2 linked regions of the Drosophila melanogaster genome follow. The gene in region 2 interacts genetically with the main gene of each other region. Each region holds a gene or a part of one and is shown on either strand. Other genes may lie near its edges. The genes, in order: VGlut and Ih.

What was found.
Region 1: of Ih (region 2) and VGlut, changing one suppresses a phenotype caused by changing the other (phenotypic suppression), as found in Drosophila melanogaster (one study listed by BioGRID).

Annotation. Positions count from the first base shown.
Region 1 is NT_033779.5:2,389,485-2,406,652, reverse strand, and holds the start of VGlut (vesicular glutamate transporter), read right to left. Parts: upstream 6,359-17,168; 5' UTR 6,303-6,358; intron 5,903-6,302; exon of another isoform or gene 5,688-5,902; intron 5,547-5,687; 5' UTR 5,320-5,546; intron 4,764-5,319; 5' UTR 4,409-4,763; coding exon 4,359-4,408; intron 1,927-4,358; coding exon 1,596-1,926; intron 1,152-1,595; coding exon 915-1,151; intron 447-914; coding exon 1-446. Other genes in the region: CG46448 (uncharacterized protein), read right to left, coding at 14,743-14,877; CG43750 (uncharacterized protein), read left to right, coding at 16,018-16,797.
Region 2 is NT_033778.4:14,273,406-14,290,573, reverse strand, and holds the start of Ih (I[[h]] channel), read right to left. Parts: upstream 14,445-17,168; 5' UTR 14,048-14,444; exon of another isoform or gene 13,294-14,047; 5' UTR 11,003-13,293; coding exon 10,932-11,002; intron 9,180-10,931; exon of another isoform or gene 9,018-9,179; intron 4,873-9,017; coding exon 3,091-4,872; intron 2,438-3,090; exon of another isoform or gene 2,319-2,437; intron 1,381-2,318; exon of another isoform or gene 1,301-1,380; intron 1,036-1,300; exon of another isoform or gene 915-1,035; intron 1-914. Other genes in the region: conv (convoluted), read right to left, coding at 15,702-16,095, 16,158-17,045, 17,115-17,168.

The sequences.
Region 1 (17,168 bases), on a different chromosome or scaffold from region 2:
AACTTGTGCTTGAGGAACGAGGACTGGAACAGCACCAGGAGGTAGAAGTTCCAGGAGCGGCAGAAGTTGGCCACAATGATGGCGTAGACCGGCATCGAGCGCATCATTTCCCGCCACGGAGTCGTCTTCAGGGATGGCATCGTGGGATGAGCCGACTCCCCGAGCGATTTCTCGATGTACTTCAACTCGGGTATGCTGATGGCCGGATGTTTGCGCGGGTTCTCGAAGCACAACCATATCCAGAACATGTACCATATGATTCCGAACACCCCGTAGGCGTAGAACGGCGCCTGGTAGCCCACGGCATCGGCCAGAAGTCCGGAGAGCGGAAGTCCAACCACCACGCCCGCATAGGAACCGGAAAAGGCCAGCGTCGCCAGTCGGGAGCGCTCCATGGGCGGCGCCCAGAAACGCCAGATACCATGGCAAGCTGGATAGGTAACGCCCTAAAAGAGATTATGTTTAAATAAATGGATTATTTAAATAAGTCAATTAGGATATTGTCCTATATTCCAATGCACTTAGTCTCATGCAGTTATAGTATCTTAAGAAAATGTGCTTTGTGAAATTAAAAATATATATCTAAAATATAGTTACTTCCGAACTCGAATAGACAAACATCCTTTTTACAAAGTATCATTCTCTCCCTTCCGATTCGAAGAAAAATGACATACTTCCCAGTCCTTGGCACAAAGAAATCGCATTAAAATAAATGCTTTTGTTATTTTTTCCTGCCCTCCCAGGACCCCCATCCCTTTGAGGGCTTAGGACATGTTTCCATTTCACATATTTGCTTTATCATAAAGCAAAATCTAACCCTCCCCATTTTCGCAACATCACGCAGCCGTAATCCCCGGCTTTGATCTGTGGCAAAATCGAATTGGGCAAGTTGTTAGGTTGGTTGGGCTACATACCTCGAAGAGTCCTTGCAGGACCCTCACGCAAATCACCACATGACCGTGCATCAGGGTCATGGCGAATGGCACGAAGAGATGCAGCGTGGCGGAGCTCACGATGGACAGTCCGAATATCTTGTTGGCCGGGAACTTGGAGGCGATGAAGCCGCCGGGAATCTGCGTCACCAGATAGCCCCAGAAGAAGGACGAGTCCACATGGCTCTCCACGGCGACCGTCCAGTTCATGAACACAGTCTGCAAAAATCCGGAAACACATTTTACGGGATGAGTGACAGAAGCTCAGCAATCATTAAAAACTGCTCCAGGCATTTATTAACGAGCGTCAAGCAGGATTCAGAATTTCAAATTGGTTTCTATGATGGGTCTGTGTGGGTGCGTGTCCTTTTGTGTATGTATGACTTTTGAGCCACATCCACCCACACCCACACACACACTCCCTAATTGACAGCAGCTTCTCGTCAAATGAAGCGAATTTTATGAATAACTCACTCCTCTCTCGAATTTATGAATGCTCATTCGCTGCCGAAAATTTAATCAATTTAATATGCAAGTAATTTAAGGAACAACTTTAAAATCGACTCTTCATCCGTGTAGAGCTTAAAGAACTTAAGCTGAATATAAAGCGAGTTCTTGGTGTTGAGCGGATTGTAAGTAGATTATTACACTGTGAGTACTCACCCCATTGTGCTCCCCTTTGAGCTTGGCCGCCGACATATTGCACCTCATGCCGAAGGCGATCATGAATCCCACGCAGGCCATGGTGGCGATGGTGTAGCGGGCCGGCATGCAAGGACACTCCGCCTTGCAGTACTTGTCGATCTTGCGGAGCGGCGGGCGCTCGATCTCCTCGAAGGAGGCGGGCGAGTCGGGCCGGTCGTCATCGTCGTCGTAGGCGTGGCCGCCGCCTGGTCCGCGGCCCTCCCGGTCGCCCCCCTCCATTTCCTCGTAGCCACCGTGGCCACCATGATAGCTCTGCGATATCTCAAACTTCTCCATATTGGGCTTCAGGCTGTGGAAGAAAAACAAAAAAGATTTTTATTATTCATTCAGTTAAATCAATCCTGTCGTGTAGTGTCTTCCAAACATTTTCTCCTGGGGCATAATTCATGCCAATTAGAGCGGATAGCTGGCCAAATCAACAGGTCAACGAGAGGGCGTGAAAACACAAATATTTTCGGCTTGTTAGCAGCAACAGCTACCACCCCCTTCCGATTTCACCCACCGGAGGTGGTTGATGTTTTCCCAAGGGTCCCAGTGGAATTGCGGTGACTGAGGGGAGGAATCGCTGGCAGAACTTTCGTCCTGGGAGTTGAATAAAATTCAATTTTATTAAGTGCCGATAGCTGGGCTACGGGTATTTAAAGTTGATTGGAGCAGGTAGGAATTCGCAATCGCATTTCCCGATTTGATTTCCCAGTTTAAACACAGTTAAAAGACCTTGTCACCGACCAGATTGATGGATGTGTGTTAGCTGATATCTGCTGATAACTGGGGTGACCTGGCCACCTAACCACCCCGAGCAAGCCATTAACCCAAGATAAGTGACACATCAACTGAGATATGGCCCCTCTCACTCTCCACGGATTTGGAATTTTTCTTCATAAATATCCAGACAAAGTCCCCATAAGTACGCAATACAAACTAATAAGCAGCCACCAGCCAAAAACAAGCCACTACAGTGGATATAACTTTGCCGTCGTCGTCGAAGTCGCCGCCTGTCACATAACTCAACTGTCTGCCGCCAAAGCTACCCTCGTCTGGTCACGCAGGACCTCCTGAATAAGAGCGAAAAAAAGGAGCTGAGGGAACGACTTGCGTCCTTCGAGCAACTTGCGCCTTGACCGACTTTAAGGCTGACGCCAATTTGATGCCCTTCGCAAAAAGGGACTGCGTTATGCCCATCATTAGGTCTGTTATAGGACAAAAGAGGATTCGATTACCATTTTGAGGTAATATATTAAGATCTTGGCATTGAAAAATCAGTCACATAAATATGAATGATAACAGGGTTTTAAAGGTTTTTAAATAGAAATAGCTAGTTACTTTTCAATGATTGACTATTTATTTTTTTTTTTTTATATATTCATTTTAGAACATATCAGCGTCGCATTTTTTAGACACCAAATTTTTTGAAGATGAGCCAAACTATCCTTGGCGCTCAAGTTCCGCATTGATTGTCAGTAAAAATGTTGCAGACTTTTTGTCGCCGCCCAGATTAAGGATAACTGGCGCCACAAGCAGAAGGCTTTTGTACAATTCGCCTTTGACTTTAACGTGGCCACAAAACGCGACCATTAGAGATGTAAATGGGGCACATTCTCAGATATATATGTATATGTAGAGCTGTATGGAGTGTATTAGTTTGTTTGCCCTGACAACTGTGATGAAGATGCTCTGGCACTGAGGGGGAGTGGGAGAATGGGGGCTTGTCAGCGACACGACCGCGTCTTCAATGGCAATTCTAATTTCATTTTCACTAGCAAGGATAAAGGAACTCCTTGAGCACTCCCCCAACGAGGCATTTCAATTTCTTCGCGCCGAGTGCCACTCGAGCGCTTCAGCGCCAGGTCCTGTTGGCAATGGATACGGATACGGAAACGGAAACGGCTCGCAGCTCGTAAAAATCAATTTCATTTGCCTTAAGCGCTGCAGCAGCCTTCGTCGGTATGCAACAAATTCCGTAATGAAAGCGATGTGCCACCTATTGTTCCAATTTCTAATTTAGCACTCAAGGTCCTTGAGAAATCAGACGAGGTGTGCCCATCAAATTGCATACCACGACCACACACATTCATCGAGTGTTTGCCCAATATGTCCCAGTGGCACGACTTTATTGCGTTTCGTCCGCAATCGAAGGTGCCGGAGTTGAAGTTCCCGGACACGTGCTGCCAACGTGCCCGGAATTCCTGACGCACCGGTGAGCTCGTCCGCATGCCACTGCGTTCGTTGTCACCAGTGAAAAGTGCCAAGTCCCAAGTCCTTAGAATCCCTATAAACCCCCTCTAATGACTTGTTAAGCATGCCAATAATTTTACAACTTTCCGGGGGGGGCGCGACACGTGCCGAAGTTTCGCGACGCCGGCTAGTCGCCAGTGCGTATCAATATCGGTACATATTTACTGCATTATCCTGGCATGGTCAAGTTCAGCCAACCACGAGCACCGACCATCCTTGCGTTAAATTAAACTCTCTCCCTTTTGTTCTCCGCAGGTCCATTTGATTGCAATCATATTTCATTTCGGGCATATTGCCACCCATCATCGCTGTACACTTGCCAACAAAATGAGGATATATTTTAAATATACATATAGATCTGCTTTCTATGCTTAAATATATCCTCTTGCTGGTAAAAAAAAAAAACCTTTATAAATCTGAATATTCTTTAAGACCCAAACCCTGCTGTCTGGTGTTACTAGAGTATATCATATCACATCGACTCACCCGCCAAACACGCCCGTTGCCTTCTCCTTAAACGCCGTCAGACCCTTCATCTTGCTGCTCAGCTAGTAGTCCTGATTTTCCCAGACGCCTGTCCTCACTCCGCCCCTGCCTCCGGATCAACGAGTCCTGCTCCTGCTGCTGTCCTTTCGCCCAAGTCAGCGTCTGTTGTGCTTCGTTGCCTTTGCGCCGTTATCACTTGGGCGCATAAATATATTTTGTTGCCTACTTCACGGCGGATTGCCGTGTATATAAGCGTAGCGAATCGGCGGCGGTTAATTTCCGTGAAGCCAGCACAAATTTGATGACTCTATTTTCGGGTTGGCTCGTTCTCTCAGCGGGGGATTTTCACTTGGTCGCCATATGATTTCGATTCTCGTGGAGTTTGTGCATTTTCATTTACAGTGCCTGCAAAAGAGATTTGTATGCGGCTATTAATGGGTCCGGCAATTTGTGTTCTGCTGCTGATAAGCAAAAGTCTCGTACAATTTCATCATTTTGCACATTTCTTGTAAGCCGCTTATGTTCATAAATTCACGAGAATTTCGAAATGATTGTGATGAGGGGTAACTACTGAGCCGGCAGAGCATTTTGTAAATATTTCTGGCATTGTGAGCGGTTTTGATAGCGTTTTATGCTTCATTTGGTGTGAGCATGAAATTTGACACCTCTTTTGATTTGGGTAATCTCTTTCGAAAGAGTTAGCAATGTTACGATTATTGGAATTATTAGAATTACAATTTATAATAAGAAAACAAATTCAATGGAAATAATCATAGGTTTTAAGTTTGTGCATTTTTTATACTAGCTTATTTCTTGTTAGATCAGGAATTTCGAAACTAAATGTAAAGTATATATGTACGCATTCTTTGGCGTTTTTCACAAAATTCTTTAGATGATTCCATTGGAAGCTCCTCCCCCAAAACAGTTGTACTTTTGACCTTTGGCCACAACGCCTACTTACATGCCACACCAGAGTTACGTAATCCATTTCGTAGTTGGTGCAAGATTATATAATCGGCCTCTAGTCGTAACTTAAGCACAGATATTTTTGGTGATTAACTTGGCTTAAATTATGTTTTAGTAGACAACGAAAATCGTTTAATTTATTTTGTTGTTGTTGGTTAGGATATCACAAATAAGGTACACAGATAACAGATTATATAGCTTGATTATTCACTACGCGATACGCTGCAAATGGGATAAAAAGGGATATGGAATTAGGTGATTTAATATAATTAGAAGAATTTTTTAAAACAATATATATCTTCTTGGTAATGTGTTAAAATATATCGTTATAGATGTTTTGTATTTATTTATATAAAGTCTCACATTTTCTAAGCAACACTCGCCCGCAAAAATAGAAATGAAACTAAAGTGAAAAACTTAAAACTTTGGATAAACCAATTAAGAACTCAGTATGTGGGACGACAACATCCAGACAGAGTTTGACCACGAGACCGGCGGCAGGTTGTCTATGGAACCGACGACGACGACGAGGACGATGGTGATCCGAATCCAACTCTGTCTGAAGACTGTGTGACGTCCAACTCAAAATCAGCCGCGTTGTGGACCTCCAGCCAAAGATCGGCGGAGGACAGGTGGCAGCGGAAGATGGATACATAAGCTGCCATCGCGGCCTGGAATGTATCACATACAGGGGTATATGTACGGAGGGACTAGTGATGAAGCGAATGTGGGATGGGGTGTTAAAGGGGTGGGAGGAGCGTAGTATATACACTGGAAATTTTCAACCACTGGAATGTGCGAGATTTTCTTTTCAAGGGTATTACGAGGCGTTGCCAGAAAAACGTAGATTTCTCAACTTCTAGCCGGAGGGCAGCACTTTTTCGAAACACTTGCTATATTAGCACGATTATTCGGATATTTTGAACTATATTTTCTGATTTATTGGTATATTTTAGATGTATTTTCCCAGCTATATACCCGCAGCTCCAGGCTCGCTTTTTGGCCTCAGCAGGACAACGCACGAAGTGAAACTAAAAGCGCCCGCATTCGCCTTTCTTGTCTGCCCAGATGGATGTCCTGCCAGAGGATTATGCTCCTCCGCAGCATAATCAACGCATCCGTCCCGTTCGCACCCGCTGTGGTGAAAAGCTCGCGACGCAGGCGACAGCTGCGCAGGCTCGAGAATCCTTCGAGAGTCCTTCGTCCTTCGGCATTGGTTGACGGCGAATGGCAACTGTAGCAGTTGAGACTGGGGACAGCTGTGGGGGAATGGCACGCCACCTGGCCAAAAAGAACCAATCAGAGGTCCTGGTACATGGGAATGTCTTTCTCTGGGTTGGCATGCGAATCTCAGTCGTGCGTGAAATGCTATTAACATGTTGCCAGGCCATTTTCCATTGTTTTCCTCCTGGCACACAGACGTCCTGCGTCCTTCTGCCGCCTTTTTATAGAATGTCAGCCATTTTGAATATTTTCCCCTGTCTGCATGGGGGCTCAAAATAGCTCCAAACTTGGTGAATTTTTGGAAAATGCTACGATTTATGGATGAGCGTTTCAATATGAATCGTGAAGTCTGACCGGCTACAAATAAATAAGTCCTTTGCTCTTGGCTTTGATCGATTCGAATCGGACGTGATGCTTTTTAAATTCTCACGTTTGGGAGCTTGAAATCTATCTAATGGATTATCATTAATTACTGGGCGGTCTAACGGTAAAAAAACATTTGATTCATTTTATTAGAATACTCTAATGGATTTTTCGATCCTAAATTGATCTTATTTAAAACCAAAGCTAGTTGTCTTTTATTAGCCCCAAGAAGCAGAATGATTCGTTTATTATTATTCGTTATTATATTCAAGGAAAGAGAAAAGAATCTCCAGTTCCAAACAACACATATACTTATTAGGCTCAACTCAACTTGAATATTCTCAATGGCCACTTTAAGTAGCTAATAATCCTGGTCAACAGTGTGAGCAACTGCCTCGATTCTCATCAACCACATCGATTCACGGGACAGAAAAAATCCATGCCCCATAGAAATCCCCGCTTCCGTTCGGCGTCCCATTCCAGGATCCCCTCCAGATGTCCTGGCCACGTTGCGAATACGACGCGTTGGCCTAACCCTCATAAGCATAAAGCAAACAGCCAACAAACAGTTGCAACTCAGCCAAAAGCTATAATAAAGTTGCGGAAGTAAACAGCAAAGCGAAATAAACAAGAAGCGGGACGAGGAAACAGCCGAGCTGGGAAATGAAAGGAAAGTCAACAGAACGGCAGCGGGATTTTCGCATTCGAAAGGGATACAGATACATTTGCAGATACAGATACTACGTCTACGGCATGAGCCAGACTTCGGGGCAGACAGATTTCCACAGACAAGACGGCGGCACAATAAAAGCATCTGCGATATTAAATTTCGAAAAATGCCCAATCCGTGCGGCGTTTTACTATTTAAACAAAGCGATTAAGGGTGCGTGGCTAGCGGCTAAAAGCGCCATTCACATTGATTGACGTAAATGAAGAATAATCGAATTGCGAATTGTGCTCATAAAACTCTAAACTAAGTGGCGACGTTGTCGGCCGGATCGAGTGTCAGTCAGTGCCCATCGTGCACAGTGGAAAAAACCGAACATTCAAATTGGTTACAAGCTCAATCTACAAAAGTGCTAGTCAAATATATATATTTTTTAAATTACAATAAGTTCTATATGCATATGAGATTTGCAAGCTATATTCATCTATAATTTCGACAAATTTATAATATTCCTCACTCAAAATGATTCTTTAACACCCACTGTGCTCAAATCGGTAACCTTAGCTGTTGGCCCGCTCTCATAAATTGTCAGCAGAAAAGTGTCAAACTTGAGTTGACAGTCCCCCGGACGGAGTTTCGTCCTGGAATCGGGCGAGGACTTCCGCTGGCCTCCCAGTTCCCATCGCACGTCAGCGGTAATTAGTGCAGCTTCGGCAGAAAGTCGTCTTCAATTTCATTGCGCCAGCGTAATCATCATTATCCTGTTGGGCCTGTTGTGTCCTTATCCACGCGGCGGTCTCCCGTCGTCCTTGCCGCTTGCACTAATTACAAAATAACTTTTGCAGCTTTGTCATCTCTGTGTACTTTTTTCGGGAGATTCCCCACGGTGCGTATGATGTATGGCTTTTCGTTGTCTGATTTATGAGTGAATTACGGGAATGGGCGTCGGTGGATTACTTTCGGTGAAAGGGTTTCACGCGGTTTTAATTACCAGCCGAAACTGTGACGACTTTAAAAGCTCTCGAATTTCAGCTTGAAATCGTCAAAAGTATGCGAGTGGTTTTCCCACCGAGGCGGGAAATTGATGAGCTTCTGTGGATTCAGCAGACTCATGCTGTCAATCCACATGTCCACCCACTCAATCATCAAACTAAACGCTGTGCTCGTCGATAAGCGTGGCACATAGTAAGCGGAGTAACATTTCGAATCCTTGGGACTGGGGGAATCACGCAGGTCGGGGGTTAAGGGTGTGTCGCTGCCCAAAAACGATTTCTGAGATTTAATATTTATTTTTGTTTGTGTGCAAATAGCTGGAAGCGTCTGAGATATGATGGAAACTGCGAGGGGCGAACTATGAAACGGGGGATTTTGAGATGTCTGTTCGGTGGGAGATTTATCTTACAGCTTCTGTATTTTTTGGATTTATAGACACATGAAACTATCATATATTTCCATAGTTTCCTACTACTACCCCACTTGGAGGAATCGCCTTACCCATCCTAATTAGCATATGCCTCCATTTAGGACTCAACTCTTTGTCCGTCGTACAACAACAACGAAATCCATTAGGGTCATAGAAAGTATATTGCATTTATTCATTCGGAATACATTTTTCTCTTCGCTTGCCGAACAACAATAAGAGCAGAATACAAAAGGCGAAAAGCGTCAGTCAGTGCAACTTTATTTCAAGCTACAATGCGCAGGCAACCCACCTACTAAAACACAAAACCTCATATTTATTACACTAAACAAAAATACTGCAGCAGTATGCAGAGAAAGTCCCATGTTGTTTCCATAAATAGAAACTACATATTTAATTTCTCATTTGAAAAAAGACATTGTAAGTATTTTCCCAATGCTATGTGATATTTTTTGTCGAGTGTAGAAGTCCTGGTGACAGGCGGCGGTATACCGGAAGCAAATGCTTTTGTCGCCCGGCGTGTGCCGCTTTCTGTTGTTGCGTTCGTTTTTTGAGTTTTACCCTCAAAATGCATGAGTTTGCTCATAAATGCTAGCCTGAATCTTTAGAATGCCTTGATTAATGTTGGCGCACGTTGGCTTTTACCCCGTCCACGGCGCAGGATAAGGGTGACCGAGAGCGGGCAATAAAAATGTTGTCACACATCATTTAGCAAGAACGGGCAGTCCGTGCTTTTCCGTGGCCTTAAATCGGTTTTAATACATTTATTATGAATTCTCAAACATTTCAATTCGCCGTTGGACACCTGATACCCCCTTTCCAGCTGCCCGCCCGAAGAAGATTCGTTGCCATTGCCTGCCAGGCATCATAATGAATCTAATCACTTACGCTCGAGTGCATCAATTATGCTGCCATCAAGGATCAGGGCAGGACGACGAGTGGGAGGATGGGCACGACGGGCTGACAAAATGACTCCAGGATGGAGTGACAGGCATGGTGGACGCGGAGCCAGCAGAACAGAAGCGACGACGTGCCCATTGTTAGCTGTGAAAATTTGTTTGCTACGTCATCGCAACAACAAGCCCCTCAAGTTGATAACTTTATGATGCTGTAAAGAGACATATATATACATCTAAATATCTATGCACCCCAAAAAGTCGAGAAGATTAGAGGGTGGTAGTATTAAAAAAGTTTTGAAATGGAATTAGAGGGAATAGTGGGACGACTAACAAGAGCAATCTATATGATATAAGTTTTACATAAAATTGAAGCTTCGGTTCGTCATTTTGATATATCTCCAAAGTAGTAGCATCTACCATAAAGAATTGAAAGTAATGATAAGAAAAGAAATATTATCCTTGTAAAGGATTTTGTCGAACTTAAAAATTTATTATACATTTTAAAGTATTTATCTTTTAGGTCAACTAGAAGTTAAAGTTGCTTTCCCCCCTGGTCATCTGTGTAAAGAAGCCACAAAATGTGTTTGTCATCATTAGAAAAATATTACATTTCCTCTGTCCAAGAGCAGATTGCCTTGGCAAAAAGGACACGGATGGCAATGGCGCAGGACTTTAATTGCTGCGAATGCGAATACTTAAAAGTTGTTGCCTTTTATGCGGTTGCCGTCAAAGCGAAACTCAATTAAGCTGCAGTCACCACCCCATGAAACATGGCCCACCCCGAATCAACATCAACCCATGGTTTTCCCTGATTTAAAACTGCTGATACGGCAGTTGAGGACGTTGGGGGACTAGGACATCAATAGGAAGCTTTGTCATGGTTGCCCTGCCAGCCAGCCACCGAATGCCTTTTCAAAGGCATTTTTAATTGAAATTATCCGATGCTACCTTTTCGGCTTCTCCCGCAAAATTTCCATTCGAGTTTTGCGTTTTTCTGCTTTGTTACCTTGCAGTTGGGTTGATTGACATGTGAGTCGTCGTCCTGCTCCTTGGAAACTTTTCTCGGCCTCAGCTTGTTTACATCTTAGAGCGCTAATAGCGGCAGACTTAAGTCTGCGAGCGATACGCCATAAATCCATGTTAATAACGCCATTGTCAGAGGGGATGCAATCCGTGTCTCAATTCGAAGGCACACAGCTGCACTGAAAACAATTAGTGACCAAATGAAATGCTCCATGAATGGAGCACCTTTAAGGTTCAAAGGATACTTGCTTCATGACACATTTTCGAAATATTTCCGAAAATACTTACCTTTTTCATTTCAAAGTGTAAGATTCTGTAGTGGCCGAACGGGGGAGATTTTCAACTCAAAAGACATTTAAGTAGATTAAGCGACTTTCATGTTGTGTCTTCAGTCTTTGGGACATCAAGCCAAATGAACGACGACAGTGAAACAATTCTCGAGGCACGCCCGTTGGCAAAGGACTTGAGCACGGCGAACGGCAGGATATAAAGCCCGGCAATATGCCCAGCCAGTTGCCACTCGAAATATATGCAAATATAGTCCTTGAGCGCGGGCGTGGCAAAGGGGGCGTTGCAGCGGCAGCAGCTTCAGCAGCAAACAATGAAAGTAAATGCCAAAACATTTTATTGATTATCAGGCGAAAGGGAAGCTTAGACAGTGGATAAAGGTTACATGATATTGGAATGAAAACATTAAATGTTAAATTTTATAAATCTCATTCAAATGTTCACGTTAATCGATGTCTATCTAAGGCGAAGAACCTAAGAGTTATTTAAAATATGAATAATATATATTTTGTTATAAACTACAATAGTTGAAATTCCACTGTGCTTGGTCCTTCAGCTGCCATTAGACGGCGCCGGCGAGTGTGCTACACTTTTTTGCAGTTGTCTGACGACAATGCGAACTGGAGTCCTGACGTCCTGGAGTCCGTGACTGAACACCGGAGTGGGGACCTGGACTTGGGTATGGGTAAGAGCATTGAGCATTTTAATAACCGCAGTGGAGAGGCGGGAAACCCGAATAGTAGTGCGGGAAACGATGGGCGGCCATAAATTATGCCACCCACCGACTGCAAAAAGGCGAAAACATTGACAGTCGTCCTTCGTGGGCCGCCCGTTGAGCGATTTGTAGTACATCTCCCCCCTTCCCGCGACTGCGCTTTTTGGCGTGGTGAGGCCCAAAGGACCTCCCCTGGCTTTTCGATGCGTTGGCAATTTTAAACTCGATCGTTAGAGATAGCAATGAGGAATAGAAGGTTGAACGAGGCTGCGAAGTGGTCAGTGCGGCGTCATAATGCAATTGTATAATTTTCTTAAAAGCTCACTGTCGTCGACGATGAGTGTAACAATAATACGCAACTGGAGTGCACTTAGTACCGAAAGTAGCGAACCATTTAGAGATCACAAAGGGCATTACAGAAATTAAAAATGCCCCCCAAATGGGCAATGAACCACCGAAAACACACAACTACCCACACATTTGGTCAACGAAAACAATCAGGCAAATGGTGTGAAACTGGGCATTTAGCTAATTGAAATGAGCGGGCAAATAAAATGCTTGCCAAAAAGTAAATAGAAGTAAAAGTGCAAATCCTTGGCTGCCGCGTGGAGTCACGTTTCACTTGGGGCTTAGCCCACAGCTTCTGGCCTTCCTTTGGCAGGACCACCTGTGGCTTTCGCCCGCCAGGATCACGTCCCAGGTGCGAAATGAAGATTTATAAAATGGCAAATTGATTTAGCGCGCCAAGTGTTTCCTAATACCGCCAGCTTGATGAAATTTTAATTTTCTCCCCCAGGGAGCATAAAAGGTTTCTCTCGCTCATGTGGCTCGATTTCACCCCCGAGACTTTGGTAATTGAGGGTTAAACTAGCACAAGTTGTGGCTCATCAACAGGTAATTTCTGTGCGAGATTTTTATGACCACTTGCCGCTTGTTAGTTCGAATATAAATAATGCATGAGGCAACTTTAATGTAACAAGCTCAACTCAATTTCGCCCCACAAAAAGCGTAATTTGAATACTTGGCCGCATCACGTTTTCCGACTTTTCTTTTATTCCCCGTATTGGCAATCGCGATACGCATTTTTATTATTCTTTTTTTCCTATCCCGCTCTCTATTGGTAATACAATACGTTCAATTCTGCTTTTGGCTTTTCTTGAGCAAACACAGCGCGGAAAAAATTCAATTAAATGTAATCGCATCTATTTCTTCTGCGACCGTGACTGATTGTTCTAAGGGAGAAAGGCGCGGAAAGAATTGAAATTAAAATTGAATAAATAGCCAAATAAACACGCTCTTTGAAAGTAAATGCTAATTCCGCGCTTTTCCTCAAGTTTCCACTTTCGTTTTTTATTATTTTTCATCACCCATCTCAAGTGTGCGGAGGCACGTGCCAAGCCAAATCCTTTTAATGTGTCTCCAAAGTTGGAACACTCGATGTGGGAAGTTGTCAAGTTGTAAGCAAAAAATCATATTGCAGAACTTTCAAATCTATGCTCAATAAAAATAATTGTAATATATACAATTTAGTGTTAGATCTAGACATAAGTAAAGCTCCCATTTTACTTAAAGAAAACCTTTAAAAAAAAATTACAATAAAGCGAAGACAGATCAAATTAGGAAGGCGAAAAACTTTTCAATTACCATCGGATTCAATTAATAATGCTGCTATGCAGGTAGCACACACATTTCAGCTAACCAGCTTAAATGGGGAAAAAACGTTTTCCATTTAGCAAGGACGCAATGAAATTCAATTAACCTCAAGTGGATGCCACAACAGCAGGATTCGCCATGATGAAGGCATAAAACAAAGGCAGATCCTGCGGTGGCATTCACACCTCATCATCGTCAACAGAAGGATATTTCTCGGATGGAATGGGATGGCATGGGCGGGGGTAGTGAGGATTCGGCAGAACATCCCTCAACTTTGTTTGGAAGCGTTTAGCTTCTGATATTGCCACCCGGGGTTATCGATGGCATATTAAACTTTCGCTGCCGCTGGCTTTTCTGGACGCGGAGTGCTCCTCAGAACCCCGTCTGATTAAGAGCTGAGCAAACAAATCACGAACCAGCCGGATTGTTTGCTTAGCCAGTGTCTAAACATCGCTCTCGACTGTTTTTTAAACTGTTTGCGAAGCGGTTCCGATTCGTGGAACAACCCCCAGTGTAATTAACATTTCAATTTTGCTCATCGAGCAAATGTATCTCTTGTGCTTCACTGCCTCCCAGCCTTCGGTAAATAAATTGTTTTCCAGGGCAATTGATGCTGCTCTTCCGTGTTGACATATGCAAATTTTTAGCACCGCCCACAACAATTCACGAAACTTTTCTGATTACTTTTGGGCATACTGGTGGGGTTGAAGTAGACCTGGTTATTTGCCAACTTGATGGCCCCCTTTGTAGGCGGTTCAATGGCATCGATTGTTTGCTCTTTGCTGGTTTTATTACATCATATAATATAAAACAATAAATGAAAAGAAGATTACGAATTCACGTTATCATCGTCGATTTAAGATATTTTATAAAAAATGTAACAAAGAAATGAAATATCTGCCAATATTATTATCTACAGCACTCTTTTAACAAGAGGTTCTTGCTTGTTAAATGATTACAATAGTTGTTTTGATTACAATTAACTCATTTTATTTACATAAAATCACATTTGTTTTCCAATACAAGTACAAAACAATGCCACAATAAAAACAATTAACTAATCATAGGGTCTAGATCGATATGGATTGATATGATGTTGCTATGATATTCTTTAGGTTCATTGAGAGATATTCTAGCTGGGCAAAGCGATAAGAACTAAGCCCGAATTATGGGATCCTTTGATATCGACTCCAAGCACTTGAGAGCTGGATTCTCGGGCTCCCACTGCCACTGCCACATCCGAAAGTCCGCCAGTTCCGTCGGCATTGCTGCCACAGCAGTCGAGGTCCTTGCCAAGGCATGTCCTTGATGTGACGAGGGGGAATCCCCTTTTTGTTTTCCTTCTGCTTTCCTGTTTTCCCAGACTCTGGCTCCCTTCTCACGACCGATTCCTGGGCGTCGATTGTGGTTTGTGTGTGGCGCCAGTCATTGGGCCGGGGTTTTTATAGCTGCCGCCGCAGAAACGAAGCTTTCTAGACTCCCCGTCCGGAAAATGGAAAACTTTCGTGTTGAGTTTCAGTCGAACGGAGTGTTGAGTTTCCCCACGCAAGTGGCAACAATTGTTGCCGCCTAATTGGGTGTATATATGTATGTTGCTCCTGTGGCGCTTAGGTAAATAACCATACTTGTATACAACGTGTTCATGTGCGTGTGTTTGACCTTATGCACACAAGGACACGGGAGCAAAAGGAGGAGCCAGGACCTTCCATCCATCGCAATGGCCGCCATTCGAAAATTTCGCCGAGCACGGCATAAAATTAAATGTTATTTAAATTATGCCCGCTCTTTCGCTCTAATCCTTTCATTCCTGCGAGTAAGTGATTAAAGCCATTAACGAAATTATCGAGGATTATAAAGATTTGTACGGAACTTCGCAGCGGGTGTTCTTTCGGAAGACAATGCCGTTTCCGTAATCCCGGGGCTTCAATTAATGGAGTGTCGCCGTCGCCGTCGCCCACTCGCAAAAAAGGGTTGCTGCCCCGCCCACCGCTAAAAGGTGCTTCTCGCAATTGGAAAGGGTGGTTTTCATATATTTGTTATTGCACAGAATGGCCATATCTTTTTTTAAACATTGCGCTTCAACAGAGACTCTCGCCTGATGACGTCAATGTGGAACACAGCTTTCATAGTTTTCATTCCTCTATTGGCGCTCTTTTGAGCTTTTTCTTCTATTTTTATTACTATTTTATTGGTTGTGGAAAAAATAATACAAAATGTTTTATTTGGGATATAGCAAGTGTCAAGAGATAATTACCACAAAGTAAAGCTGATAACTAAGAAAAATAGCACACATACAGTAAGAAAGAGTATGTTGATCTATTTAACAAAATTAAGAAAAAATTTGGGAAATAACATTTGTACTGGAGTAGTGAGCTTTGCTTCATATAGAAAATATAAAAAATATACTTGTATACACTTTTTAAAATGTAGTCAGTAGTATAATGGAGGAGGTTTCCAATACCGATGTAAAGAAGGTGGAAGCAAGTACTCCAGTTAAAAAAACCAGAAGTAAGGAGGAATCGCCTACAGAAGCTGGAGCAGGTCCTGTGCCACAAAGTTCCCAAGAAGTGTTGCTTAGTTCACACACATATAATACACCAGATGACGAGCATTCCATTTGCGAAACTAATGAAGATGGAAGTCCAGAATTTGCTTCCGAATCACCTTCAATTTGTGATAAGAATAAGCCTAGTGGAGTACAGCTAGATAGCTCCGGAATATCTGGAGGTATATGTCGTGGAAGTCTGATGGGTGCAGATTCAATGGAGTCCGAACTTAACTCAGAATCTAGTGGGGAGCTTTTAGATAATAATGAATTGATTGCAAGGAAAAAGAAAAGAGATTTGTTGAAGTCAGACGAAACTGAAGACCCCGAGGAAGAGTTTAGGAAACATTTTCTCAAAACTTTTCAGAACTTGCCTAGAATATCACAGATCTCATTGGACGATAACCCAAAACAATCGCCAACAGAGAGCAAACATAATGCCGAAATAGATGCAGAATTGCCAAATAATGAAGTTGCAGAATCATTAACAAATGAAGGTGATAGCACTGGCAAAGCAATATTACCAACAAATTTGTCAAATAGTGATGCAGAAAACATCGAGCAGCCGGATAACAATATCGCAGAAAACACCGAAATAACCTTACTTCAAAATAGTTATATTCAAGAAAAAGAGAATGCCGATGAAATTCCTTCCTCCTCAAATAAAAATATGTAAATTCGGAAAGTATATAATTTGAATAATTTAAGTTTTTGGTAAACTATCCGAATCTGTATATTTTGGCATATAAATTTCAGTGATTTGGCCATAGCAACCCAAATATTGGCTCAAAAGTGGAATGTCATACCTCGTTGAGCTCGTAATTTCATGCCCAATCGATTGGCGTTCCAATCTGAAACTTTTATTTTTTGACCAATTTTTTCAAATTTTGATGATGTAACCCCTTATAAAAAATGCAAAAAATGGACAAAAATAAAATTTTCCAAAATTTTCCTAAAAGTGATGCGGATAGTTAGTATTGGTTTTCCGCATCACAAAACAGTCGGATTTTCATATCTACGACTGTTTTAGACCGTTTTCTGAAACAA
Region 2 (17,168 bases):
CTAGTTTTTCTTGACACTTTTGTTTACTTTTAATTGCGGCACACGCACAATGCAGGCTGAATCAGAGATACGGGGCAGCTGCCCTCACCTTGCCCACAAAACTAGATGGTGATTGTCAAGGTTTTCCGGGGCGGCAGCCAGTGAAACTGGAATCTGGTTTCCCCAGCCCCTTCTTAAGTTTTTCGTATTCGCGTTTTTTTTTTTTTTTTGGAGCAGCAAACACTGAAGGCACCAACTAAAGGCAAAAAAAAAACACTGAACGACAAATCGCGTGGCACGGATATGGATATGGATATTATTCACGTTCACGGCGGACCCCCATTGTTAAAGCCCGGAGAGATGGAGACGCGTGCTCGCGGTTACGTTGGTTTCCAATTCAGTTTCAGTTTCAGTTTGGATACGAGCATGGGCATGGGCATGGGTATATGGGTATATGGGTATGGGTTTTCGCGTCACGGTTAGACGTACTGATATTTTCGTACATTGATAATACTTTTTTCGTAATTGTGTCTGTGCTTCTATTATTATTATAAACAGCGCTCTCTTTTCGCCTCTTCACACTCAATTGAGTGTACTTTGAAATTGGAAAGTTTCGTTTTAATTAAGCCTGTTGAAGCTGATTTAATTTAATCTTGGCATTAGCCTAATGAATTTATTAGTGATTGCTATTGTTAACCGCCGTCGACTATTGCATTACACAAATCAAATGAAATCAAATCACTTTGCTACAATCTACATTTCATAATTGTGGTTTCGAATTCATCGCACTTCACTGGCGCACTTGGAATTTTCGTTGATTTTTGTTTGATGTTTTGCATTCGAAACTATTGGGTTTGTTTCCCTAGCAACTTGGAAAAACGTGCTGAAGCAGATGTTTTTCCGCCGTTTTGATGCAGATTACACAAACGACTCACAAAGTGCGGCTGCCGAGAAACGGAGAATCGTAGAAGTCTGGAAGCGTGCTATATAGCTACGTATGTATATAGAGTAGAACCCGGCACTTGGAGTGATTACAGCGGCAAACTTTTTGCGACTAGCGACCGCCGGCCGAGTTGCCGCTCGCAAACCGCCTGGAAATCGAAATCGCCGGCAAACACTCCGAAAAACGAGACCAGATCGTGGCCAGTTCGGAATGGAATGCTTCGTATCGTATGGTATCGTATCGCATCGTATTCTATTGGATCAGATCGGATGGGGGATCTCGTGCGTCCTCGAGCAGCGAAAGATGGAATGGGGGGTTTGCTTACTATTCTTTATTTTTACTTTCCGTACTGACTGGTTGGTTGAGCGATATTCTTACCTCGAATATCAATTGGTACAGGAATTGCAGTTCGCTTCCGAAATTGGCTGGCAATTGCCTAATTAAATAATTGAGATATTGACACCGTGCACTTGTCGCCGGGTTTTTTTTTCCGTTTCTTTGTATCTCAATGTTTTCTATCTTTTCCTGTCTTTTTTCTTCGCTATTATGGCAACTAGTTAATTTGCTATTTGCCAGACTTTTATTAAGCTACTGCTGCTGATGGGTGATGCTGATGCTGCGGCGACTTGATAACCTGTTCTGAACCCCGCTGCCGTTGCACAATAAATAAATAACGAATTTGTGCTGCCTTTTAATTGATTTCGCGACGATCGACGACGCAAATTATGGCTGCTTGTAATTCCCTGGACCGGGCTGTCTTCACAAAAATTGATGCCAATAAAAGCAAAAGACCATACAGTAAAATACAGTACGATACAGTACAGCAAAACTATCCGAAAAGTGAGCGAACAGCACATGGAACATAAACATAAACAGTGATGGGCAAATATACATACATATGTCTGGATTTTATGCAAATTTATGCGGTTAACGCGTTCGATTCACGCGAAGATTAGATTGGATATCAGTGGTCAGGAAAGGAGGAAGCTATATATTGTCGGTTTGGGTCTCGTTCGCAATTTGTGATCTTGAGTGGAGGCGACAAATTGTGCACTTATGTTATTCACACGGACCGATTGAAACATTGTTTACTTGACAAACATTGTTTACTCGCAATCAGGCTGATAATCGAGCTCGATTCAATTACTTATACGAAATCACGCACAATGACAAACGTTTGTTTGGGTAATCCAGTGGACTCCTTATTAATAAAAATGCTCAAGGTTTTGGAAAAATATCTAAATATTTGTAAACTTCTATTTGGTTTATAGAGTGCGGTTTTTGGTTTAACAACCAAAGCACGTAAATTCATTTTAGAACGCGTTCATACATATGTTCTTTCCGAACGTAAAAAGTTTAATATTACTTTTTTTTAACTTTAGCACTAGGCACACACCGACTGTAGACTGTGTAGAACAGAACCCTTGGGATTATTGGTATTTCCGAGCTGACGCTCCAACTTTCGATCCGCTCAAAATGTGGAGTTCACTGCTCGACGGGCATTAGAAGTTTATTGCGCGTTCCGAGGCGAAAGGCAGGTCGGCGGAGTGAGATTCCCTCGGTCTGCGACGACGGAATTATGCAAATGCCCGGCGATAAGCGGAGCGGAGACCAAGGCACTCAAAAAAACCGGTAGTAGTAGGCGATCAGGCGCTTTGAATGCGCGTAATTTCCACTTGTAAGCCGGGGTAATGTCTTGAGTTTCGCGCTCTCTTTTCGGGGGAATCCGCCGAACTGAGAAACAAGTCGTCGTGGTCTCTGGAATCCCCTTTTCTTTCAGTTTTTTACAAAAGTTTTGTTGTTTCTCTTTTTAAAGTACACTGTGATTCCATTGAAAGAACTTTTTCCACTAGGAGGTAATTGGTAAAATGATATTGATTATACATCACAGTGTTTTTGCATTTCACGATTATACAACAAAATATTTGACTAAGCGAATGGCCTTGGCCTTTGGCAATATTAAATACTTCAATTAAATGTGCACTGTTATTGTTATGACTAATTCCACTGAAGTATCTGAGAGATAAGCTAAGAGATGGTATCTAAAACATATGGAACGAAACTATAGGACCAAACACAATGTTATTATGCCATATTAAAAACGTAGAATATTAACATTGTAGTAAATATAAATAGAAATTCAGAAGAATCTCATGTACAGTACTCACCGATCGCCGAGCTTGCCCTTGTGCCGGCGAATGTGGCGCCGGTTGAAGCTGTTGGTGCACGACGTGGACGTGGGCCTTGCCGGATAAGGACACGGATGGTGGCTCCCGAAGCTGTGCAGCTGCAGCGACGCCTTGAGATTGGCCGGCGCTGTGGCCGAGGAGGCGTGGTGCGCGTAATGATACGGATAGGAGTACGGATGCGGATACGATACGCCGGCACTGGCTACGGTGATGGTGGACTCGCCGACCGGTTCGTGGCCCTCGTTGGCCTCCGAGGAGCCCTCCTGCTGCGATCCGTTGCTGGAGGAGTGGTGCGTGTAGTCCGTGGGCGCGCTCAGCTGGCGATTGAACTCGGCCTTGCGGCGCGTGAGGTCCGTGAGGCAGTACTTGTTCAGGTGACCGTTGCTGCTGACCGAACTTTTGGGCGAGGCGGCCGCGTAGTGACTGTGTCCGGGTGGTCCTGATCCTGATCCCGATCCAGATCCCGATCCTGCTCCCGATCCTTGGGCGTGGGCGTTCAGCTTGTGGCATGAGTTGCTGCTGGCGCTGAGCAAATTGCAGTTCTTGCTGCCGCTTGCCGAGCTGCTGATCTTGGCCGCCAGCGAGTGCGGCACCGGCGGACTCTTTCCCGTCGCCGGAATGGTGTGGCTGCTCCCGCTTCCACTCTCGCTCCTCACCGACGCCCGATGGCCGGGCAGCGTCTGCCGGCTCTGCCCCTGACTCTGACTCTGTCCCTTGCCCTTCAGCGATCCGTTTAGTAACAACTGCTGCTGGCGGGCAGCAACCGCCGACAAGGCGGGCAACTGCGGCGCCTTGGTGCACGTGGAGGACGAACTGGCTGGCGCCGAGGAAGCCTGCGGATGCGTGGTGTTGATGGAACTCGACGTGGAGGCCACTTGCGGCTGCAGCGAGTGCTTCTTCTCCACCAGATACAAGTTCAGGTACTTGTCGCCCGGATGCAACGAGTTATCCGACACCGCGTTCGACTTGGAGATAATCTGGCCCTTCTTCTTGGCGGTGCGTGTCTTGAGGGAGAGATTCCGCAGCTTCTTGGACTGCTCCTTGATCTTGTTGGTGCGCAGGAACGATGGACTGTTGGCGATGCACTTGAAGATGTACGTCTCGTTGACCAGCTGCTGCTTATCACTTCCGCTGTAGTCGTACTCGCTGCTTAGATTGAGATTGAGGTTGGTCAGGTGGCGACGCTCCCGTTCTCGGTCTCTATCCCTATCCCTATCCCGATCCCGATCCCTTTCCGGATCCGGTTCTGGGTCTGGCTCCGTCTGCGCCAATTGCTGGTCACTGTAGTGGCTCTTGAGCAGCGAAGCGGCTCCTTCAGCGGCAGCTGCACTCAAGCTGCGTGAATACTCGTGACAGGCATCGTAGAGCGCCGACTGGCCACCAGTGCTGCTCACGCTCTGGGTGCCACAGCTCACCGGACTGTGGCTGCTGTCAAGGATGCGCAGTCCGCTCCTGCTGTCCGATGAGTTCTGCTTGGATATGCCACTTGTCGATAGTCGACTGCTGCTGCTGCGGTGCCGTTGCTGTTGCTGTTGCAGGTGCTGCTGCTGCTGTTGCTGTTGCTGCAGATGTGGCTGCTGTGGATGCTGCTGCTGGTCATCGCCCGCTCGCAGCAGCGAGACGCTGTCCGGCGCCGCCGATGCCGCCGGCTGGCCGTTGCTGAGACTCACCAGAGACTGGCGCACCAAGTGCTGGTGCGAGTGCGAGTGCCGCTGCTGTTGCTGCTGCTGGTTGTCCGGGCACAAGTTGTCGCGGCTGGCACTGCTGGCGGAATCATCACGGGCGGCCCAAGGAGCCGCATGTGGAGTGGGGGGTGGCGGAAAGAAAGAGGAGACTTCAATGAGTACCGTGTTCGATGGCAGAATAAAAATGGCCAGCGTCGCTGGCAAACACTCAAATTTATCTATTTCAAATTGGCAGGCAAGCATTGGAGGGAGACGAAACGCAGGTTTCGTCGGCCAGAGGGCCACGCTAAAGTGAGCAGGAAACAGTGTGTGCGAGTGTGGAAAACCGCGAGACAAACAAAGAAAATTCTTAATTATTATAAATATTGATTGTGCAACATGTGAGCGGTGAGGGGCGGTAGTGGTGGGGGAAGGTTTGTATCGCATTCCCGGCTTCTATGTGAGTTCACCGCACAGAGGACACTGGATATACTGAACCACTAAAAGTCTGAGCATTAATGATAGGATATAGTATGGACGTTATTCGCTAATTATTGTTGACTTCAGCGGTCTCGTGACTTCAAGATTTTTGCTGTATAAAGTGTGACTCAACCTGATCATCATTACTGTCAAATGGACTTAAGTTGAGCTAACGACTACAGAAAGATATTAGGTAAATAATGACGAAAGTTTATTATTGATTTTATATTTTTAATTGTCTACTTTGCATCTCGATGCTCTTCATATTTTACAAAATATTTAAAATAAGCTGTTTTTTTTAACATCCTTTTCAATGTTTGTTCTTTAATTGTTCAAATGTGACATCTTATTTGTTCAGAATGCTTTCCCTTATATCGAGTGCCCAATGTGACCGCGATGTGTGATACAATTTATAGAGACATCTATATACAATGGTTGACATGCTCATCTGGTTTCTGATCGCGCGAAAAATTCAACTAAATTAATGTATGGCGGCACGCAGGCCAAGCACTGATAGAGCCACAGATACACAAGCGGTAACAAACAACTACAGATAGAGATAGAGATACAAATAGGGATACAGATACAGATACGGATACAATTACAGATGCAGAAACACACCGATTCGATGGAGATATATGGCTGGAAGCGCGTGCCCCAATGGCGCTGAAAGCATTCCGCACGGTGGGCGGCGGAAGTGCCCTAAATCAAATGGCCAAATGGCCGAGATAAGATAAGGCTGCGCCAGACGGACATGGCTGATAAGGGAGCGTGGGAGCACAGCGGCGCACAGTGGTGCATAGTGGTGCTCCATGGGAAGCTGTATCGAGTGTGGCCCACTTATATGGAAATGAGCTCTACCTGTGCGGCCAAGCCCACTGTGCCTTGGGCAATCAATGCTACGAAACGTGAGGCAAACTATTGTTGATATAGCTAAACACCGGCGCAGGCAGGCAGGGGGAGGGGCACGTTTTCAAACAAAGGTAAACATTTGTTGGGGAAGGAGGAGGGGATGCCCTATTCTCGGTGTGCGTGCATCGAACTTTTCCGATTCCGATGCCGGATGCCAAGCTCGAGAGTTGAGCGCGAAAAATGGGGCGGGAAATTGGTGCAGAGCAAATAGCATTTTCCAGCCCCGGAATCGAGTCGAATCAATTTCGGTCAATTAGGCAAAGGCTGGCTGCCTCACGCCAGAGGCGCAATTATCCCAATTCTGATTCGAATTCGAATGGGATTTGTGCAAATACAAGTAAATATGTCAAATATTTGCACGCTAATGCTCAGCCGATGAGTGTGCACTTTGCAGTTATCGAACGAGATGCCCAGATACAATCGCACATCCGCCACCGAGTGGCGGCCTCTTGCCAATCTCGGACCTAATCTGGCCGAAAGTCACTTTTGAGAAGGCAATGGCAATGGCAAAGCCAAATCAAAGCGAAAGCATCGAGTGCCCCGGGGAATACCAGCTCTTCGGCTTCCTGTCTGATGGCTTTTTCATCTTGGCCTCGAGTATTTGCCACCTGTCAAGTGCTGCAGTCAAATGTGGCCCTTGCCCCAATCCACCGGCTAAGTTGGGCTCAATGAGTGAGAAATCTCACTTAAGTTATTTATTACAAGTAAATGTATATATTCAGTCCTAACCTTAAGCTCCTACTAAATTTAATAATCATTGCTATAAATATTTATAGAGACCTCTGCTATGCCAAGAAAAAAATTGAATGTAAAATGTTTTGTTGCTATGCCGCATCTAAGGCATCTCCACATACGTATTATTCTATTTCTCTCAGTGTAACCTTCTGGCGTGGCCTGCGTCCAATGTCAACTTTGGTGCATTGGAGTGGCCCTCCGGCCAGCGGATTAGTCTTTGAGTGCAGAGCATGTGCTGGCCATCCTCGAGAGCTTGGGATTTTGATATTGGTGGCGAAACGAGTCTGGTGGAGCAGGTTTCTGGCATCGAAATCGCCACCAATGCCCCGCCGCCCGCGGCTGAGACACAATATGCCTCAATTAATAATTCAGAAAGCCAATTGAAGGCATTAAGCGTAAATTCGTAAGGCGTACGTAATTGAGTCGCTGCCTGGCTGCCTGCCTGCATTCCACTTCGTTCATCGATATTAAATCAAGTGCAGCTGTGAGCTCCCAAATGGGGGATCCACAACTATATTTGCAACTGATCTACTTGTCTCGGCGGAGATGCTGTGTTCTAATTTCCCTGAATCCGATCGATTGCGGAATTCTTTCATGGTCTTGACCTTTGGAACATTTAGCGTGACCGCTTGAGCTATTTTAATTCTGATTCTGGGCGAATGTTTCCGAAATCCTTCAATATTATGCATTTTATTGCTCATGAACTGAAAGCGCCCGCCAGCAAAATCAAACAAAAATTGAAAGCAAATTGCCAAACATGCCACTCGATACACATTTCCGTGTAAACAAATTACGAAAATTTCCATTTTTAGTGCACAAATGTTTACCATTGTGCCAATTTACACAGTCTATGCAGTCAGGCGGATTTTATTTGATCAAAAATACATATATCTACGATTTCTATTCGTATGGGGGAAAGTGAATCAGAATCGGAAACTGAAATGGCGATTTATTTTACACAATTTTAAGATCTTTATAAAAACTTTGAACATGCCTGTTTAGAAAAGTTGACTATAATATATTTTACACAATTTTATGTTATAATAATGCTGGGGGAATGGAAACTTTCAACTACCGAAATATATGTTTATATTCCCATACCAATTCGATCCCTATTAAAGTTTTCCAAACCATATTTCTCAAGTGTATCAACGTACATATACCCTAAATATAATCAGAATATATCTGAAAACTCTCAGTGATGACCTGGTTAAGGTCATTGCAATAACGAACTGAGTTCACGAATGGTTCATCGAATGTCGTTTGTTTGAAAATGCCATTTTAAATACACTTCTCGGTCGGTAATTAAATTTTGAGTTCAAAAGATTTCCGGCTGGGCAGGCAAATGAACACAGAACTCGATGGGAGAGCTCAGCTCAACTATAAATAACACGATTTTCGGCTAAACCAGAATTCAGCCAAATTATCCATTAATTATAACGACAGACCAGCAATTAATAAATCAGGCTTGCGGGCAGCGAATTGTGTAAATCAGTGGAGTGTACAAACAAAGAAATGCTACATCACAACCATTTGGCATGCCAATTGTAAATAAATTTTGGATTCGACTTGTGTGAGATACATGGCAAACGGGATTGTCATTCATCTAGGGTAAGCGAAGTGTGTGGGGCTACTACAAAAGATCTTAAGCAGGGCAGGGTTGGCGAGGTGGGGAAAAAGTCATTAAAGCAATGCATTCGAAACTCTTATCGATGGACTTTTGAGGGACAGGTAAGTTAGCAAAGTGCATCAAAGTTAATGAGTTTACTTTATGCTTGCAACCAGAAATGGTAAAGCTCAAAAGTTGAAACTTGCGGGGGTGGTGGGTTTTCTTTTTTTTTAGTTTTCCGTCTAATTTCTAGTAACGAGCAGAAAAGTTAGAAGCATTAAATGTGTGTGTGTGTGTGTGACTGTGTTTGAGTTCTTATATGTGTGTTGCAGTTGGAATTGTAACGGTAAGTAGTTAGTATTAGTAGTAGTAGAGTAGTAGGGAAGTACCATACAGAGTCTACGATCTATATATACTATATAGAGAGAGAGAGGCAGAGACACTGAGAGACAAAAAGAGATATAGAGAGAAAGTATGGGGAGAATTCGGAAGTTGGTCGGCGGTACCTTCACAGCTGATGTCTAGGATCGCTCCAAATGCAAATGTAAATTGCAAATTGTTCGATAACGGTTTCGGTTTGTGATTTTGATCTGGTTTTTGATTTGGTTCGGTTTTGGTTGGTTCTTAGTTTCTGTATTCAACGTTTTTGCACTTTCAAGCAAAGTTTTCTGCAAAACAACAACGACAAGGACACGAAATAAATCCAAGTTATTCACGTGACGAGTACCAAAATGGAAATAATAAACGATAAACGAGAAATGAAGGAAACGAAACTGAAAACTAACAAACTGAGCGGGAAATAACTTAAATGAGATTCGTTTGGGGGATAAGAAATTAAATTAACTGCACAAAGCACACAGACACCAGAGGGTCCTGCCCATATATGTATGTGTTTGTATGTGTATCTGTATGTGATTATGTATGTGTAAGGGTAGTGCCTATATGTTTGAATGGGTATTTGGTGTTTTTGTTGCTGTCGAGTGTATGGAAATGTGGAACTAGAACTAGCTCAATTGGAAACATCGGGCTTCCTTTTTGGCACAAAAGAAAAGAACAGCTTATCTGGCCCTCTGCTTCGCTCACTCACTGTCGCCGTCTCTGTCTTTTATCATGGTTGTGTGTGTGTATATATCGGTGAATAAGCTATGTATGTGTGTGGGAGGCAACAACAATGCAGTAGTCGGCAAGTGCTTATCGATACATACAAACACACACAAACAAATGCCAGCCGAAATTCGGTCAGTGGTTTAATCATTGAAGTAAAAACGAAAGCTTCCGCTCATTCAGACACATACACAATCACACAGACTGGCCCACACCCACACGAATGCAATTACATGTACAGTGGCCTCTGAAAGTATGCAGCACTGCGTGCGTTCGCACTCAAAGTACTTTGACACTATTCTCAAGCAATGCAATTCATTGTATTGTATTGTGTTGGTATTGGTATCGGTATCGGTGCTCGGCCATTGTTGTCGGCCTGGCTTGACTTTTAATCTAGTTTCGTAATTGCATTGACTGGAGTGACGGATGACCCCTTAGAGTGGGCGGCGGGCGGTGTTGGTCGTTGTGAGCAGGAAATCAGTTCACAGGAGGCCAGCAAAAAAGGCACTTGGCAACTCGCTCAAACGCACACACACACTGGTTCACAACGCTCACACACACACGTATGAATGTGAACAGTAACAATAACAACAGCAATTGCGGCAGCAGCAACAACATCAACAACAATAACAGGGTAACTCAAGAGACAAAGAACGAAACAGAGACACTGAACATAACGGTACGAAACGAAACAAAACTAACAACACAAGGAACAGGATTGCTAGGGTGGACCACAGACCTTACAATGTTAGATATTACATTTTTATTAGGGTTATTTAATTCATTTTATGTGACTTCAAAATGAATCACTCATACGCCATGTGGGCAGAATGTATTACACATACGCCATGGTGTCAATAAATTGCTCATACGAAGCGTTGACCCTTTTCATAAAAAAATACCATACGCTTGTTAAAACATTTTCCTTGCCTTAAAGGCACTTTAACTTTATTTCTATTTTAAATCTTTCCAAAAAGAATTAATTAATAATTTAATTTCCAACGTGAAATGCATGATACTGAATAATTTAAATTATAACCAAGATATTCTAAACAAAAATGCAATTTTAATATATGAATACGTAAAATGGTCTATCATAATAAACTCGGTCCACCCCAGAGATCACATTGAAACTGAAACATTAAGTACATTCATCTCAAAACTGTACAACGTGGGAGATCCCGGCCAGAGGAGTCCGAAATGCGGGATAACGGACGTCCTGCACTGAACCGACCTCCCACACCAGTACAACGTACATCGTGCACAACAACAGTACAAGGACATACAAGGATGGCTAGTGAGTGGGTAACGCCTACCGTTGATCGTTGGTAAAGGTTCCGAAGGCTCCAGGACCGCTGACTCGGCGCTGAGTGTGTTTAACGTGCATTTTCTTGGACCCACGACGCCGCCGCTGTCACGTCACCACCTGCACTCGAACTCGAATTCGAACCACATCGAACCACTCGCGCCACCTTCGCTAACGTAACGTGGCTGTTATTATCGGGGATATTTTTGCTGCTATTTTTTGTTGCTTTTTTTTTAGTTTTTTTTTTCAAGGTGTTGCTATTGCTATTGCCGCCGGAAAGGCCCCGCAATGCCCACTGCAATTCTTGGCCTTGTCATCGTGGCTCAGTATGTGTGTATGTGTATTGTAGTTGTAGTGGTAGTTGGGTGTGCAGGTATGGGTGCAACTTCCGCTTCGATTTTTGGCATTAACTAATACAAGTCCAGCGCACACGGACACGTAAACAAAAATTAATTGCTTTTCGTTGTGTTACTCTCTTTCTTCTTTATTCGGGCTGTCTCACTCGCACATGGGGCTGTTCGCCGTTATCCGTGTTTTAAGGTTTTAGGTTTTAGGTTAGGTTAGGTTTTCGATTCGTTTTTGGTGGGTTCATAGGTGTTTGGTTGAGTAACGTAGGTTGGGTGAGAAGGTATCGGTATCTAAAAGGTGGCCTCTAAAATAGTCAACAGCACTGTTTATATTGCTTATGGTTCTTCACTTTTCGTTTTGTTTCGTTATGCGCTCGTTTTCGTTTCTTTGAGGTTATGTGACTCTATGACACTATCTGTTTGAGTTGCGTGTATAATAATACCATATGTTACTATTTATAGTTTAGCTTTTGTTTGAGTTTTAGTTTCGTACTTTGTACTCTGGATTATAAATGACGTTTATCCACTAGGGTATAGTTATTGTTGCTATTCGGTTGGTGGTTGCTGGTGTACAGATGTGATGGTGGGGCCTGGAACTGGAGCTGGTACTGTAACGATAACGATAACGGTAACGGTAACTGGAGCTGAAGTGGGGTGGGCAGGATCGGGATCCGAAATGTGGATCACTGAATAATTTATCACAAATAACAAACTAGCTGTTGGAGGGGATGGGACAGTGATGATGACAGCTCAGTTTCCTTGCTCCGAAATGTATGCTATCCCGCCTGGCCTTCCAACCTGGCTTCTGGCCACGCCTCTCCTCCACCTCCTCCTCCCTGCTTAAGTTAATGTTTGGTCATGAAAGTTTAACGAACGCACCGCAGTTTTGGCTTTGCGGTCGCCCTTTATTTTCTGTTTTTTTTTCACTTTTGTGGCAAATGGAAGCGACGCGAGTTAAGGCGGAGTTACGTCAAGGCAGCGCAACACGAGAAACCCAAAGCAGGTAGCTTTAATTCGTCCTGTACGTTCGTATCACTCCTCCTCTGCGAGTCCACGGATTACGGCTCTGGGCGTATTTGTGTATCTGACACGAGCAACACGCAAAGGATCCGGACCCGGCAACAGTCCCTCCTTGGGACTCCGTGTGGCGACGTCCTTCGTCACCCAATTAATGCATTAATATCGCCCTCGTTACTTATTCAGATGCAATTTGAAAGGCCTAGGTCGAGGGCGGGGATCCAGTTTTGCATTAGCGGCATTATAAAAATAAATCCATATAGGTAGATGTACAGACTGGCGCTTTTCGTCTAATCGCTACGGCTAAGTATCTTGTATATATCTCGTAGGTGTATAAATATATATATAGGTATATATATTGTATATAGAGAGGCAACTACTTGGTAGTTTTAGTTAGTCGATAAGTGCGTTTATGTTGCGGTTATTTGAATTTGCTGTCCTACAGGCTGAGACGCAGGTCTCTCTACAAACTACGAGGTTAGTTCCATTACACTATCTCAACGGGGATTACGCTCTATATCCTTGGGCTGTATCGATAACTTCCAGCGGTGAACAAACGTCAACGAACTACTTTAATTTATTTGCTTTTTTGCGTTGTTTTTACTGCGGATAGCGTTTATCGTTTATCTATAGCACTTTTGTATATAGCGAGTGTCTTTTTGTATATTTCTAAAAGTAATTCTAATCTTGGGCTTGCTTGTCTGGGTTACGCCTTTAAGATTTGCTCAATTTCATTGTTGCAGGTACTTTGGTTTTGGTTTTATCATTACGTTCTATTTTTGGTTATCGCGTGTCCTTTATTTTTAGGCGTTTCCAGGGTTTTTCCACTTGCTGACTGACTCTGGCGTTGATTAAATAATGCTGCACTTTGCGCTGATTTATCGTGTTTGCTTTCGTGTCCTTGTTTTCGCTGGTTTCCGCTTTTGTTGCTCGTGTTTTTTTTTTTATTTATTTATTCGTGTTTGTCTCTTGTCTTTTTATATTTCCTTATTTTTTTTGCCAGTCGTTCTATTTGATTATGTAATTATGCTTGGTTTCTTATTGGATATTGAACGGTACGTGTGTCCTAGGGCTATGTATGGGCGTGTTTGTGTGTGTGTGGTGTACGGTTGTGTTGGTGTGTTACATGCGATTTTTTCAGCTGCTGCGGCTGTGTTTGTCGTGGTTTCGTTGGATTCGTGGGTTGCGATAGACGTAAGTGGTTCGTCATCAACATTTTTCGCACATACATACACGATTCACGGGCGCCACACGGGGCATTGCGTCTGTGCGTGTGTGCGTGCGTGTGCCAGTGTGTGTGAGCGTGTGTCCTGGTAGATGGAATTTATTGAATGAAACGTCAAGCGATTTGACGAATTTTAAACAAATTATTTATAACACACAGAGACACAGGAGGCACGCACACGCAAATATTGCGAGAGAGGCACGCACAGACACAGTTCACAGTCGTGGCACGAAGAACGGCACAGGACACACAGGACACACGGTGGGTGGCACTGGTAGTGGTGGTGGTGGTGGCGTGGGTGGTGGGAGAACAACAAGGAGGAGCCGACGAAGAGAAAGCCAAGAGGAGTGGAGCTGAAAGTGGGAGGAAGTGCACACGTTAAATCAATGCTTCTTTTGACCTCTATTACAATTTCGTTCGCTTTCGTCTTTCGCCATCTTTCCTCCTCCCTCCTACTGCTCCTTCTCCTCCAATAGCTTGCTCCACCTCGTCCTCGCCCCTTTGGAACTTCTCTTTTTTTCCCGAGCCCACGACTACCTGGTAATTTTTTCAACGCCCGTGTTACGGCACATTTAATATTTCATATTTTCATATATGTTGGGCTCTATACACCAGATACACAGTCGCTGGCTCACCAAATGCACATTATTTCATTACTTTTCCTTGATTTCGTTTTGATTTCACTTGGCTATTTTAATTTATTTTTTATTGGGTCGCGCTGGCTCCTTTCGTTTAAATGTTTATCACAATGCTGCTTTCGCTGAATGCTGATTTATGCCATTCGCCACCGAGCAGCGCACTTAAACTTGCTATTTGAAATTTCTTCTTTATGTAACGAACGGAATAACGGCACACTCGCTGCTGCTGCTGCGACTGCTACTGCTGCTGCGACTGCTGCTGCTGCTGCGACACGAACGAACTCAGCGCGACAAGTGAAACTTGGCTTCCCGATTCGCATGCCACTGACGTGCGCCGTGGTAACAGAAACAGAAGCAGAAACGGCCGAGCCGAGCCCGCGAGATTCGCTGAAAATCGATAAGGACAGGCAAAGTCGCCTGCCAAAATCCTAAGGAGGAGGCGGCGGGGGCAGGAGGACCAGGATGGCAAAGGCGAACGGCACAAAAGCACATTCTTCTGCGGCCAAAGTGAAACCGAGAGCATGTGGGTGGCGCGCGGCAGTGAAAGTGCACATGTCCTTAGTGTCTCGTGTCCTGCGGCACAGTGGAGGTTCGGTCGAATTGATAGGTCCTTTGGATGCTCCTTCAATATCTCCTGGAAGCTATCGAATAAGGTAGGGTGTAATACACACATGTATTGATCAGAAATTACCTCAGTAATAAAATCCAAAAATTAAAAACAATCTTAATTGCTGTACCTTTACATTAAATTTGTGTTGTATATATTTAAGAAATAATAAAGCTTTAAAAACATTGCTAACGTATGTATATTTCCCCCCTGGTAATAAATTAAATATATTCAGAACAGGAAACTGTAGAGCCAAATAACAAAAACAATAGCATAATTCTAGGAGCATGCCGATACTGTAGCTGTGCAAACAATTTCGACCGCCAGTGTGCTACTCGCATGCCTTTTCGGTTGAGAGCGCGAGTGCGCATTTGCCAGGCTCTCAGGCGAGTCCTTTCACTCGCTCGCAGTCCTTTTGTCCGCTCCCGCTGCACAAACAGGAGCCGAGTCCGAGTTGAGAATGAATCGCCGCGCCGAAGAGCACTTCGGATTACAGCCTTTGTGTTTTCGCCCTGAATGAAAGTCAGCCAGCCTGGGCCATCAGCCATCAGCTGGCCCGTTGGGTTGGCTGTGGGCTCCAACGCTTTCTGAATTGCGCTGCCCACGCGAGGCGGCGTCCAAGTAAACAAATACATGTGCGCACGGCTGTGATAATAGGGCGTCGCGCACATGTTCAGCTGTAAGGTCAGAGCACAGCGTGTCCTTACAGTGAGCCATGGCCACAGCGACACACACTAGCAAACGGCCAACAATGGGATCAAAGATCAAGGACAATCTGATCTCTTTTCAAGATTCATTTTATCACATCGATACGAACTTAAAACGATTTTTACATACATAAAGTGCACAATTTGTAACTTGAAGACAATCAGTATTACAATCATTTTCGAGTATAGTTATCTACTTATTAAGAAAATAATCTTGGTGCACAGTTTTCCCATGCTAACTACAATCTGGCAACAAACAAAACGAGTATTATATACAAAAGGCAACGAGGTAGGCTGCTGGAGGTCCGGGAAACGCCACCGCGGACCTGAAAGTTTCCGAAGAAGAAAGTCCGGGGCCGCTTCAGCGAAGGTAGCTGCTGGCACTGCCCGGAGAACCACTTGCGCGTATTTCCATCGCTATCCCGGGATACTATACATATCTCAGCGCCTCGAAGTTTCTCTTCTCCCAGCGTCGATAGCTCTTCCACCGGGATTTGGGCAGTACGATTGTTATAGGCATAGTCCGACTGGTGAAGCACATCGTTGCTACTGCTTCGGATATAAACGTGGAAGTCTGAGACGTCTGAAAAGCCGGAGACATACCAGCATAGGGTCAACATGCCCGCTTTGTTGCTATTTGAAAAATGTACAAGGATTATAAGTTACTTTAAGTTCAAACTGCAAAATATGCATACGTTTTCACTTCTCGGAATCGGACATCTGTAAGCTGTTCATAGTCAATGCCCTTATACATCTCCTGCTCATCCTCGGCGCAGTGCAGATACTCATCGTCCAAAGATATAAGCTGCTTGTCCTTGATCAAAGCCGGCGTTCCGCAGTAAATACTCTTCAAATCCTCTCCAGCTATCGTTTGCTGCAGCATAAAGTATTTCAACGGTCGTGCATTGCATCCGCAGTGCAGAGGATTTCCGGCCAGAAGTACTTGGCTACCATTACGCATGCTGCCCACTATCGAAGCGGGCACATCCTCCAGACTATTGTTGGTAAGATCAACATATTTCAGGGATTTCACTTTCACCAGATTGGCGAACGGCAAGTGGTAGATTTTGTTGTGGGAAAGGTCCAACCAGCTCAGGTTTTGAGGCAGGTCAAAGATGTGCTCTTCAGACTTCAGATTAGATAGTTCATTATAAGACATATCCAAACTTTGAAGTGAAGTAAAATTAGAGATAACTCCTCTCCTTAGATCGTTGATCTGATTGTGAGATACATCCAACCGAACCAGCTTTTTGGTGCCGAATGTAATATCATAGGTCAGTATTGGCATCAAATTGTAGCTTAGGTTCAGGTTTCTTAGGTTGTACGGAATGTACTGATGAGAGGGAAAGGTTTTCTTGGTAACAAAACTTATACGATTGTGACTCAAATCTAAGGTTTCCAAACTGAGTAAATCATCCAGAACACCATTGGTTTTGTTGTCCAACTTGGTGAGAGAATTGAAGGACAGATCAAGGTTTCGCAGAGATGGTAGACCAACAAAGATGTCATTTTGCAGAGTCTGGATTCCGTTCGATGACAAATTTAAAGTGAGCAGCTGCAGCAGTCCCTCAAAAGCTCGCTTGCTACAAGTTATAAATGGGTTATTAGTCATATTATAAATAAAAAATGTACAGATTTTAGATAAATCTTACCTTATATCCTTAACTTGGTTACCATACAGATTTAACTCAAACAAGACGGGCAGC